Caenorhabditis elegans: one gene and its partner. The protein of the gene in region 1 purifies or fractionates together with the protein of each later gene. This does not show direct contact. Each region holds a gene or a part of one and is shown in the gene's direction. Other genes may lie near its edges. The genes, in order: syf-1 and prp-3.

Region 1 (6,173 bases):
CTTTTTCCCTCGTGACAGCATCAAGCCGAACCCATACTGCGACGACTCTCACTGTCTGCAAAGACAAAAAGAATACGAAGAGAAGGTTGCCAATCAACCTGTGGATCTTGAAGTGGAAGTTCCAGAAGAAGAAACCGTCGTTCATGAGGACAATGAATGGGGAATCGAGCTGGTAAATGAGTCGGAGCCATCTGCAGAACAATCTTCAAGCTTGAATGCTGGAACCGGGCTCAAGTTTGCTTATGAACCAATCAAGAGAGATGCCCAGACTGAATTGTCGCCGGCTCAAGCTGCAACCCATGATTTTATGAAATCGATCAAGGATAAACTCGTCGAGGAAGCCCAGAACAAAGGAAAATAATTGCCAAAAATCAAAATATAGATTTTTCCCATATTCTTGTCAATATTAAAATTGCTTTTATAAGCTAGTCTCTCGCCTTCCATCACACTCGCTAAATAATTTATTGTCAATCCCCTTCTTTTTTTTAGGAGCCAATTTTGGGTTTTTAGCTTCTATTTTTCCTGTATTCTGTCCCCCCTTCGCTCACTATCCCCTTGTATTGCATATTACACATCATCTGTGATTGAACTCCCTGTTTTCTATTTTATTCATAAAATCTTTATTATTTACTTTCTTCTGACTTTCTCATGCTCCTAATTTACAAGAGAAGAAAGAAGAAGAAACATCAGTTTATTTACACCGAATTAATTGATAATTTACAGGAACTGTCTATTTAATAATCGAATCAAACACCCGCAAAATGAGCTGAATAATTTAAATATGCTTCTCTGATTATATTAAAGATCGTAGCGAGAAGGACCACCTTCCAATTTTATTTCCTGCGATTCGATTCGCATGCACAGATATTCTCCAAGAACCGTGCAAACTGTTGTCGATATTACTTGAAGAATCCACCTTAAAAAGGAATTTGAATTTCAAAAGTTTTATAATTAAATCCTAACCATGTAAATTGGGTTGGAAGAGCATGGTTGTAAATAGTGGTAAATATTAAATGGAAAAAGTGCACTGTACAGGCAAAATCCAGGCATTGTTTCGCACGTTGCACTAAATGCGACAGTGCGAATGAGACTCCGACGGCGGAAACTAATTGAATTAATGCCATTGATCGTTGTGTCTGAAATAATAATTTTAAAATTAAATAGACTGGGAAAATCCAAACCTGTATTGAGAAAATAGAGGAAATGAGAGGTTCGTAGCCGAAAAAGCTGCAGAACAGCATTACTGAAGTTTGAGTAGCGTAGAAAAATGTCTGAAGACACGTCATTTGACTGACGAGGAGCACTGGATCCCAGACAAACTGCCGAAACGACGACATTCTGAAAATTCGGATACTTGCACAGGGAAACCGAGAATTTATCAATGTTTTGTAGAAAAACACATTCGAAGTACATGATTACAAAATTTCAATAATTAAGATTAATAATTAAAATTGAACAAAAACAATTCACATGTGAAATCACAACGTTTTTTTTCGATAAAATCTTTTTTCCTGAAAAGCCAACGCGTATTTCCACACCAGACTACGGTCCACAATTGCGTACTCTTTCGGTCTGCATACACCAGAACCGACGATCAAAAATCTCCCGCATTTTTCGAAAATTAAATTTTATTCATATTCTTTTTAATATTTAAAGCTCGGATTACTTTTAATTTGTTATATTTTTATCTTTCCAGATAATGGCCGACAAAGAAAATGCAACAAAAATTGAAAAAATGCCGAACTCTGAGACGATGAAAGGGATCGTAAGTGAAGAAACAATCAGAACAGGAAACAATAATGCAATTTTCAGTCTTCCGAAGATGTTCCGTTTGAAGAGGATATCATTAGAAATCCCACGTCAGTAAATTGTTGGCAGAGATATATCGATCACAAATTGCAGAACAAATCTCCTGCCAAGCAGATGTTTTTGGTAATTTTCATTTAATTTTCTTCAAAAAACATTTTTTAATTTCAGATCTACGAACGTGCACTTGCAGTTTTCGAAAGAAGCTACAAACTTTGGTATCATTATCTGAAATACAGAGAAAGCACAATTGTCAACAAATGCCCAACAGACAACTCCTGGAGAGCACTCTGTGACACTTATGAGAGATGTCTCATGAGATTACACAAGATGCCACGTATTTGGATTTGTTACTGCGAAGTGATGATCAAAAGAGGCCTCATCACAGAGACCAGACGAGTTTTCGATCGAGCTCTCCGTTCTCTTCCAGTCACCCAGCACATGCGTATCTGGACATTGTATATCGGCTTTCTGACAAGTCACGATCTGCCAGAAACTACAATTCGTGTCTACAGAAGATATTTGAAGATGAATCCGAAAGCTCGTGAGGATTACGTTGAGTATCTTATTGAAAGAGATCAAATCGACGAGGCAGCAAAAGAATTGACAACTCTAGTAAATCAAGATCAGAATGTTTCGGAAAAAGGAAGAACTGCACATCAACTGTGGACTCAGCTGTGTGATTTGATCTCAAAGAATCCAGTAAAGATCTTCTCGCTGAACGTCGACGCAATTATTCGTCAAGGAATCTATCGGTACACGGATCAAGTTGGATTTTTGTGGTGCTCACTAGCCGACTATTACATTCGTAGCGCAGAGTTCGAAAGAGTAAATTTGAAAAAGTGTTTTTTTTCTGAGCACAAATTTGATTTCAGGCTCGAGACGTGTATGAGGAGGCTATTGCTAAAGTGTCAACTGTACGAGATTTCGCTCAAGTTTATGATGCTTATGCAGCTTTTGAAGAACGAGAAGTGTCGATTATGATGCAAGAAGTGGAACAAAGTGGTGATCCGGAAGAAGAAGTTGATCTTGAGTGGATGTTCCAGAGGTTTGTATGTCAAAAATTCAAAAAAATGACCTAAGTTCAGCTATAATCACCAATTTCGCCAACTTTTCCGTGTCGCAGCGGTCGTAACATGACATTTACTTGATTAATGTCAGATTATTCGTATTTTTTATTTTATTTGTGCAGTTTATCTAACGCTAAGGTATATTAAAATTTAAAAAAAATCAATGACCGGGCACGGAAAAGTTGGAAAAAATTGGAGATTTTAGCTAAAATTGGCCTTTTTTTCGAAATTTAGCACCGATAAGAAGCCCTTTTTGAAAAAAATGTGTTGAGCAATTTTTGCAAAATCTCTTTGTAAAGCCTTTACCTTTACCTTTACCTTCAAATCGTTTAACTATAAATTTGTAAAACCCTCTTGAAATTCCAGATATCAACATTTGATGGAAAGAAAGAATGAACTAATGAACAGTGTACTTCTCCGGCAGAATCCACATAATGTTGGAGAATGGCTCAACCGAGTGAATATCTACGAAGGAAATTACAACAAGCAAATTGAGACATTCAAGGAAGCCGTAAAATCTGTAAATCCCAAAATTCAAGTCGGAAAAGTTCGTGATCTCTGGATCGGTCTTGCCAAGTTGTATGAGGATAATGGTGACTTGGATGCTGCTCGTAAGACGTTCGAGACCGCTGTGATCTCACAATTCGGAGGTGTCAGTGAACTTGCAAATGTGTGGTGTGCGTATGCCGAAATGGAAATGAAGCATAAAAGAGCAAAAGCTGCACTGACAGTTATGCAACGAGCATGTGTTGTTCCGAAGCCAGGAGATTACGAGAATATGCAATCAGTTCAAGCAAGAGTTCACAGAAGTCCGATTCTATGGGCAATGTACGCGGATTATGAGGAATGTTGTGGAACTGTTGAGTCTTGTCGGAAAGTTTATGATAAGATGATCGAGCTTCGTGTAGCTTCTCCACAGATGATTATGAATTACGCAATGTTTTTGGAGGAGAATGAGTATTTCGAGCTGGCATTCCAAGCCTACGAGAAGGGAATTGCTCTGTTCAAGTGGCCCGGAGTTTTTGATATTTGGAATACATATTTGGTCAAATTCATTAAAAGATACGGTGGAAAGAAGCTGGAAAGAGCACGTGATTTGTTTGAGCAATGTCTGGAAAACTGCCCACCAACCCATGCGAAATGTAAGAACTTTTGAAAAAGTTGAAATAAATCAAACAATACCAAATTTATTTTAGATATTTTCTTACTCTATGCCAAACTGGAAGAAGAGCACGGACTCGCCAGGCATGCTCTTTCCATATACAACAGAGCCTGCTCAGGAGTTGACCGTGCCGATATGCACTCGGTAAGCACAATTTTTTTTTTGTAAAATATTGAAAAATGTTGAAAGCTCAATTTTAAATTAAAAAATCCTGAATTTTCAGCGCTTTAGAGCTCAAAAATACCTGGAAATAGGAAAATCATAGCTTTCTGCAAAGAAAAAGGCACAAAATTCGAAATTTTCAGTCGAAATTGCGCATAGTGTAGCTTTTTATTCGAAAAAAACTATACGAAAATCCAATATTCCTGCTAAAGACGCAAAAATTTTTGGAATATAAATGTTTTATTTTTAATATATCTATAGCTTCCTGAGACCAAATGTTGTAAATTCTTGCTGAAAATTGACAAAAATTGGATTTAATTGAACAAAACGACGCAAAAATTATAGTTAAAAACACTTCAAAACAACAAAATTTCGCGAAATTCAATTTTTCAAACGAAAAATCACGATAAAACCCGATAAAACCCGCAAATTCTTCAAAATTGTCATTTTAGATGTACAATATCTACATCAAAAAGGTCCAGGAAATGTATGGAATCGCGCAGTGCCGGCCCATCTTTGAACGAGCGATTTCCGAATTGCCAGAGGATAAGTCTCGAGCAATGAGCTTGCGGTATGCTCAGCTCGAGACGACGGTCGGAGAGATTGACCGAGCCCGAGCGATCTACGCGCACGCCGCCGAGATTTCCGATCCAAAAGTTCATGTAAAGTTCTGGGATACGTGGAAAAACTTTGAAGTTGCTCATGGAAACGAGGCAACTGTTCGTGACATGCTTCGTGTTCGTAGATCAGTCGAAGCGTCATACAACGTGAATGTCACACTGACATCTGTACAAATGCGTGTGGATGCTGAACGAAAGGCACAGGAGACTACGACTTCGTCGAATCCGATGGATTCATTGGATCAGCAACAGCAGCAACCTTCGGATGGAGCAGGATCAATTACTCAGGTCTCAATGAACAAAGGAAATATTTCATTTGTACGTGGAGCCGGTAAAACGGTACAACAGAATACTACAGAGAATCCTGATGAAATTGATTTGGATGAAGACGACGATGATGAGGAAGATGATGGTGGAGATGCTGATATTTCAGTCAAAGTTGTTCCAGCTCAGATTTTTGGAAATTTGAAGCTCGCCGAAGAGGAGGAAGAAGCTTGATTTTCATTATTTTTTATTTTATTTGTTGTTCAGGATCTTGAAAAATAAATTATTTATTTTATGTTACAAATTTTCCAATTTTCCAATTTTTTTGTGATGTTTTCCTTGGTTGTTGTGTTGTCTAACACTGTGTGTAATACTTTTTTTAAAAATTGTGTTTTTAATTTTTTTAGGAAATATAAAAATTGTCTGAAATCATGATTAATCACTAAGAATTTTTCAAAAAAACGTTAGTATTTTCTCATTCTTCGAAGGTATTACGATACCATCAGTTCATGAGAATGCCTACCAAGGGTGGGCAAACTTTTACAAAGTCAAGAAATCAATCAGTCAAGAATTCTTGATTTTAAAAGTCAAGAAATCAAGAAATTTTCTACGGATATTATTTTTAAGCGAAATTGAAAGAAATAGTTAAATTTATCAGTCTTAACCTATTTTTTAAAGAATATGAACAAAAGAAACTTTGAAAATGGACAAAAAGTGCAAAAATAATAATTTTTCGACAAGAACGTTAACGTTTTCAATCTTTTTGAATTCCTTTCTGCAAACCTCGCTCTTCCAACTGAAATTGTGTTTTATGGTGTTTTTTGAGTTATTATATTCTGAAAATGGCAAAAATAATAAAATAATTTCTCGGAAAATTGAAAAACCCACTTTTCAGCCTAAATTTCGAGTTAAAAATTTCTTGATTTCTTGACACAATTTATCAAGAAATCAAGAAACAAGAATTCTTGACAAACTGTCAAGAAATCAAGAAATTCAAGAAATCAATCAATCAAGAATGCCCACCCCTAATGCCTACTTTCTGGCGCGAAAATATGCCGCAACAGGTGAGAGAAAATGTGGCGAAAAGAT
Region 2 (6,256 bases), on another chromosome or scaffold:
TATAAGCTTTCAGTGAAAATTCGAAATTTGTGTCAAAAAATTGTTCAAATATTGTAAAATGCAACGTTTTTCAGATAAATGCCCCATTTCTCAGAAACTGTCCTAAAAATTAAGAATTTCAAACATTTTTTTCGTGTAGAAAGTTCAAATTTTTAAGTTTATATAATCTATGATAAACTTTACAGTGAAAATTTTGAATTTCTGTCAGAAAATTCTTCAAAAATGGTAAAATCAACATTTTTTCCCGAAAAATGCTCGATTTTTACGTAAAAAGCAAAAAAATTTAAATTTTAGTACATTTCATTGAAAACTTTAAGTTTTTGTTAGAAGAAATCGAAATTTACCGAAAATTTCGAAAATTCGACCTTTTCAAAAGTCCAAATATTCCAGAAATTCAAAAAAAAAAATCAAAGAACTCTGATTTTTTTACAGGAAAAAAATGTGATTAAATTCAAATTTTTGAAATTTCTGTCATTGAAAATTACGTTTTTTTTTTAAATTATTGAAACTAAAATAATTGCAAATTTTCGTTTTTTGCCAGAAAATTCAATTCCCATTCATAAAAAATGCTGAAATTTTGAGATTTTTCGGTCAAAAATGCGATTTTTTTAAACAAAAATTTATCAAAAATAACATAAAAATTTTCCAGACGCCCTCCGTGAGCTGAAAGAAGAAGAAGGCGGTGAACAATGCGGTGGCCGTGATCTAAGTAAACTTCTTTCATCGGCGATCAGTGGACGATATGATGACGTGGAAGATGATTCTGGAGATTCGAAAAATGGAATTGATGCTGAAGAAGCAGCTAAAAAAGAAGATGAAGCTGTGAAAGAGCCTGTCGAAAAAGAGCAGCAAAAAGAGGAAGAATCTCAACCTTCTACATCTGCTTAATCACTTTTTTCCCGTTCATTTTCACCCAAAAATGGTCAAAATCCTCATAAATTCACGGAAAAGCGGGGACAAAATCGGATTTAGTCAGATTTTATCGATTTTCAGCCAATTTTTCCAGGTTTTTGACCCCCATTTTCATTAATTTTACTTTTTTTTCCAAATTTCAATTACTAGTGATCTCCATCCATCATCCCATCTGCAAAACACTTTAAACGTTGGTTCTCAATTGTTTCTTTTTTCAAAATTTCAATTTTTATATATTTATTTTCATCCATATATATTTTTTTCTGTAATTCCTACATTTCAAAAAAAATCTCATCATTTTTATCCCAAAATATTCTTTGTAAAACAATTGTTTTCTGTCCAGTATTGCATATTCCGTTTTTTTTTGTGAAAAATTATTGGCACCTTAATTTTAAAATTTTTATTTTATTTTTTAACTTATTCAGACGGAAATTGCTTCTTTTTTGGTGTATTCAATGAATATGGTGATTTTTTTCGCACTTTTCAATTTTTATTTATTTTATGCGTTTTGTCGCAATTTTTATCTATTTTTTGCTTTAATATTAATTTTTAAAAATTCAGCCGAAAAATTTCAATTTTTCCTGGAAAAATCAAATTGTTAGCTGTATTTTTTTTATTTTTTCGTTTAAAAACTCATATTTCCAGGTTAAAAACTGAAAACTAGTATTTATTTTTTCAAAATTGAAGATGTTGATTTTTTTTTGTTCTTTTGCTCAAAAACTAACATTTTTAGTGATTTTTAATTGAAAAAGTATTTTTCCAGTTAAAAATTCCCATTTTCACTCTTCTACATTGAAAAAAAAATCAAATTTTTGCAGATGGGAAAGCTCGAGGACATTTGCGACCAGTATTTGAGCAGAAAAAAGGAACAGGACAAGGTTGGTAATCTTGAAATAAATTTTTGATCGAATTCCGAATTTGAACATTTGAATTTCCCGGCAAATTATTACTGAGAGTTTTTTGCTCAATTAAAAATTTTTTATGAACCTAAAAATTTCAAATTTCCGTGGCGAAACCTAAAAAAATCCTATAATTTTAAATTTCCAGGTAATCGAAGCAGTCGAAAGATGTCTGAAGAAAGGATATGACTACGAAAAGCTCAAGGATCGAGTTCAAGAAGCAATCTCCGACCCACAAAAGGCGCGAAAAGTGATCTCCGCCGTTTGCGATCATTATCCACAGCTACGGAAACGAACTCGCACAGATCGAGACGGAGAGGATCGTGATCGGAAACGAGATCGGACGGATGATCGGAGAAAGCCGGATGCTTCAGTTCCAGCAGCAGTAGCAGAACCTCAAAAGCCTGCAGAGCAAAGTATTGAAGAACGACTCCGAGCAAAGGAAATGATGTACAAGGCTCAGCAGGAGATTGAGGAGACGAAGAGAAAAATGGCAATTGCAGCTGGAACACTTCAACCAAAAGCCGCATTGGCTCAGGCAAAGACACAAATGGTGGCTCCCGGTGGAAAATCTTTATCGCTTGGAAGAGATGAAGCTACAATGCTTATGACACATTCAATGGATAAGAAAAGTCGAATGGAAGAGTTGAAAGCGAGGCTCGCAAGAACTACAGTAATGGCAAAGATTGATGCGATGGTTGGAAATTCGGGAGCCGGAGTGATGGCTCCATTGCCAGAAGCTGTTCAGCAAGCAGAGAAGAAGGTTCAACAACAGATCACAAAAGAATCAAAAGAACCGGAGAAACTCATCGAGTATCTGGATCCACGGATTCAGGCGAGAACTGCAGATCGACGTCGCCGGGGGTTCAATTTCCATGAGAAGGGAGAATTCGAGAAACTTGCGAATAAGCAAAGAGCAATGGCAAAGCTCGAAAGGCTTCAGAATGAGGTCTCATCGGCTGCACAATCGACGGGAATCTCATCGGCTGTGAAACTTGCGATGGTTACACCAACGGGCACGGCGAAAATGGAGAATGGGGTACCGGATATTGAGTGGTGGGATATGTTGGTGTTGGATAAGGTTAAGTGAGTACTTTTTTTTTTTTGATTTTTGGGATGGTTTGGAACGAAAAATTGGAAAAAATAGGCTACTTTTATTTAAAAATTGAACGTAAAGCAGGGGTCAACGGCAATCGATTTTTCCGGCAAATTGTCGGAATTTAAAAATTCCGGTAAATGGGCAAATTGTCAATTTGCCGGAATTGAAATTTCCGGCAAATCGCCAAATTGCCGGAATTGAAAATTTCCGGCAAATCGGTAAACTCGCAATTTGCCGATTCGAATTTGTCGACAAAAAAAATTGGTCGAACGGCAATTGCCGGTTTGTCGATTTTGCCAGTTTGCCGGTTTGCCGACCCCGGCGTAAATTTATATAAATAATTAAATTTTAAATATTTTGCTTCAGAGCTTGGTTCAGAGCAAGAAATTGTGAAGATTAGCCCCAAAATTTGGGTTTTTTGAAATTTATAGCGAACAAAATTCGTGTCAAAAATTTAGTTTTTTTTTTTGCCAAAAAGCGCAAATTTTAATTACAAAATTAGCGAAAAAACAAAAAAAAGGTAAAAATTGAACTTGAAATTTTTTTTCACAAAAAGTTTTTTTATAGCTGCAGCTACAAATAAAAATTTTTTTTCGAAATTTCAAATTTCAAGTTATATTTTTACCATTTTTTTCTTGCTTTTTCGTTAAAAGTGGCGAAAAATACTCAATTTTTACTGGATTTTTTTTTTCCAATTTTTGAATAAATAATTTCCAAAAATTGGCCGCCTTTCTGGACGTTTTTTTACCAAAAAAAAAAAAGAAAATTAATTTATTTCAAGAGTTTATTAACAATTTTTAACTTAGAAAACCTCAAAAATAAAATTTTTTGCAGCTACGACGAAATCCCTGCGGAAAACGACATGGAAAGATACTCACAGACAGTTTCCGAACTCGTAGAGCACCCGATTTCAATGAGAGCACCCACTGAGCCATTAACTCAACAATATCTGAAAGTATACTTGACAACAAAAGAAAAAAAGAAGATTCGTCGTCAAAATCGTAAGGAAGTACTGAAAGAGAAGACAGAGAAGATTCGTTTGGGACTGGAAAAGGCTCCGGAGCCAAAAGTCAAAATTAGTAATTTAATGAGAGTTCTTGGAAATGAAGCAATCCAGGATCCGACGAAAATGGAAGCACAAGTTCGGAAACAAATGGCTGAAAGATTGAAGAAACATGAGACATTGAATGCTGAGAGAAAGCTTACCGAAGATCAGAAACGCGCGAAAAAGACGAAAAAACTGTCTGAGGATACGTCGACGGCGGTTAATGTTTCGGTTTATAGGTAATTTTACGTCGAACAATTTTTTTCACGAAAAATTTGAAATTCCCGCATTAAAATTTCATAGAAAATTTTAATTTCTCTCCAAAAATATTAAACAATTTATTTTTTAGTTTCTTCAAAAATTGGAAATTTTGGAGTTTTTAAAACTTTTTTTCAAATACTATTTTATTTTACTTAAACTATTTTACAATTACTGATTAATATTTAAAAACATTTTGAAATATTAAATTGAAAACTCGAAATTAATATTTAAAAGGATTTTTAAAAAATCGAAAATTCGAATTTTGAGGAAATTCGTTTTTTTCCTAAATTATGTGATGAAAATGAAAAAGTCTAGAAATTGGAAAAAAAATTATTTCATTTTTTTTCACAATTTTTATAGAATTTTATGCCAAAAAAATCCAAAAAAAAACGTCTGTAAAGCAAAAATTTAATTTTTTTTGCAGAGTAAAATCACTGGCCCATCCGTCGAAAAAGTTCAAAGTGGAGACAAATGCGAAACAATTACAAATGAGTGGAGCAATTATGATGCATAAAGCTCAAAATGTGATTGTTGTGGAAGGTGGTCCAAAACAACAGAAATTCTATAAAAATCTGATGATTAATCGAATCAAGTGGTCTGATGAGATTATTGGACAAAAGAAAGACGCTGAAAAAGATGCTCCCGGAGAAAGAAATCTATGTGAAATGGTAAAAAAAATTAGGAAATTTTTGATTTAACTTGTAGAAAATAGGAAAATTATTCTAAATTTTTACAGGATTTTTGAATAAATTTTGTGGAAATTTTTCATGAAATTTTTAATATTAAAACTTAAAAAAGTATACATTTTATAGAATTTTGAAAACAAATCAAATAAAAAAACTGAAAATTGAGTTGAAAAAATTAAAATTTCAATTTAGGAAGTTTGTTTAGCTGGAAATTTCTTTAGAAAATCCTTTTTTTAATAAATTTTTTTTCACCGAAAACCAAGTAGAAAAATCGCGAAATTTATGAAAATTGTGGAATTTTCAAAATTAAAAATTAAAAAAAATGAAATTTCGAAAACAATTTTTTAAAGTAGATTTTAGCTGAAAATCTTTTTTCAAAAATATTTTGAAAGTTAAAAAAATTAAAAATTTTCCAGATCTGGGAAGGACAAGTGAAGCGTCGAAATTTCCGTGATTTCACCGTTCACACGGCTACACTTGAGAAGCAGGCTCGCGAGTTTTTCGAAAAGCACGGAGTTGCACAATACTGGGATCTCTGTTACAGTACCACCGTTCTTTTGGAGGGACAAGACATTCTACCGACTGCTTAAATACACATCTCTGGAAAATTTTAATTCGTTTTTCTAAATATTTTTTTTTTGTTATTGGAGCCCGGAGAGCCCTGAGCCAAGGGACTGTAAATGAACATTATTTTATTTTAAAAAGATTTTTTTAGAATTTTAACACTTTTTGTTGTAATTTAGACCCATTTTGCATATTTTCCCGTAATTTTTATATTTATTTCCCACAGATTTCTCTGTTTAGAAACCCCCGCAAAATATGGAAGAAGTCGACGAGAAAATTGAGGAGGCGATTCGAGTGATGGAGGCGCAAATCAAGGCAAAACGGGCGATTTTAGAGGAGTCACTACGGGTGGTCACAGATCCCAAGCAGATGGAAAATTGCAGAAAACGACGGCAATATATCAAAGAAGTACGGAACATGAGGATTTTTATTTGAAAATTAACGGAGATTCAAAAAGATTCAAAAATTGATAAATTCCCGCCAAAATGTTTTCTGAGAAATTTAAATTCCCCGCCAAAAATTAGCCTGAAGCCATGCCCTTTATTGGTTAAAATTTTAAAAAAACATATCCAAAAAATCTAGTTGTTGAGAATTTTCTACGAAAAAAGGTTATTATTACACGTCCGGAAGAAAACACCAACTAATTTTTTTTCGCCAAAGCTGGGTCTCGGCACGTGTGGTAAATATAAATTGGTGTAGATCGTGGCGAGACCCAATATAGCAGAAGAAATGGCCTGCGCCTTTAAAATGGACGTGGTCGGTTTTCACGACTTTGTAATATTTATTCAAT

The links.
Region 2: the proteins of syf-1 (region 1) and prp-3 fractionate together in Caenorhabditis elegans (co-fractionation; one large-scale study listed by BioGRID). This does not show direct contact.

Annotation. Positions count from the first base shown.
Region 1 is NC_003279.8:3,875,367-3,881,539, forward strand, and holds syf-1 (Pre-mRNA-splicing factor SYF1), read left to right. Parts: upstream 1-1,696; 5' UTR 1,697-1,699; coding exon 1,700-1,765; intron 1,766-1,812; coding exon 1,813-1,932; intron 1,933-1,977; coding exon 1,978-2,634; intron 2,635-2,681; coding exon 2,682-2,854; intron 2,855-3,242; coding exon 3,243-4,018; intron 4,019-4,072; coding exon 4,073-4,182; intron 4,183-4,652; coding exon 4,653-5,318; 3' UTR 5,319-5,377; downstream 5,378-6,173. Other genes in the region: uba-5 (Ubiquitin-like modifier-activating enzyme 5), read left to right, coding at 1-361; T03F1.12 (Protein SYS1 homolog), read right to left, coding at 799-916, 964-1,136, 1,182-1,337.
Region 2 is NC_003281.10:10,423,457-10,429,712, reverse strand, and holds prp-3 (U4/U6 small nuclear ribonucleoprotein Prp3), read left to right. Parts: upstream 1-1,730; coding exon 1,731-1,790; intron 1,791-1,959; coding exon 1,960-2,897; intron 2,898-3,744; coding exon 3,745-4,194; intron 4,195-4,640; coding exon 4,641-4,884; intron 4,885-5,318; coding exon 5,319-5,492; 3' UTR 5,493-5,600; downstream 5,601-6,256. Other genes in the region: smrd-1 (SWI/SNF-related matrix-associated actin-dependent regulator of chromatin subfamily A containing DEAD/H box 1 homolog), read left to right, coding at 650-888; M03C11.6 (BBS2_C domain-containing protein), read left to right, coding at 5,722-5,874.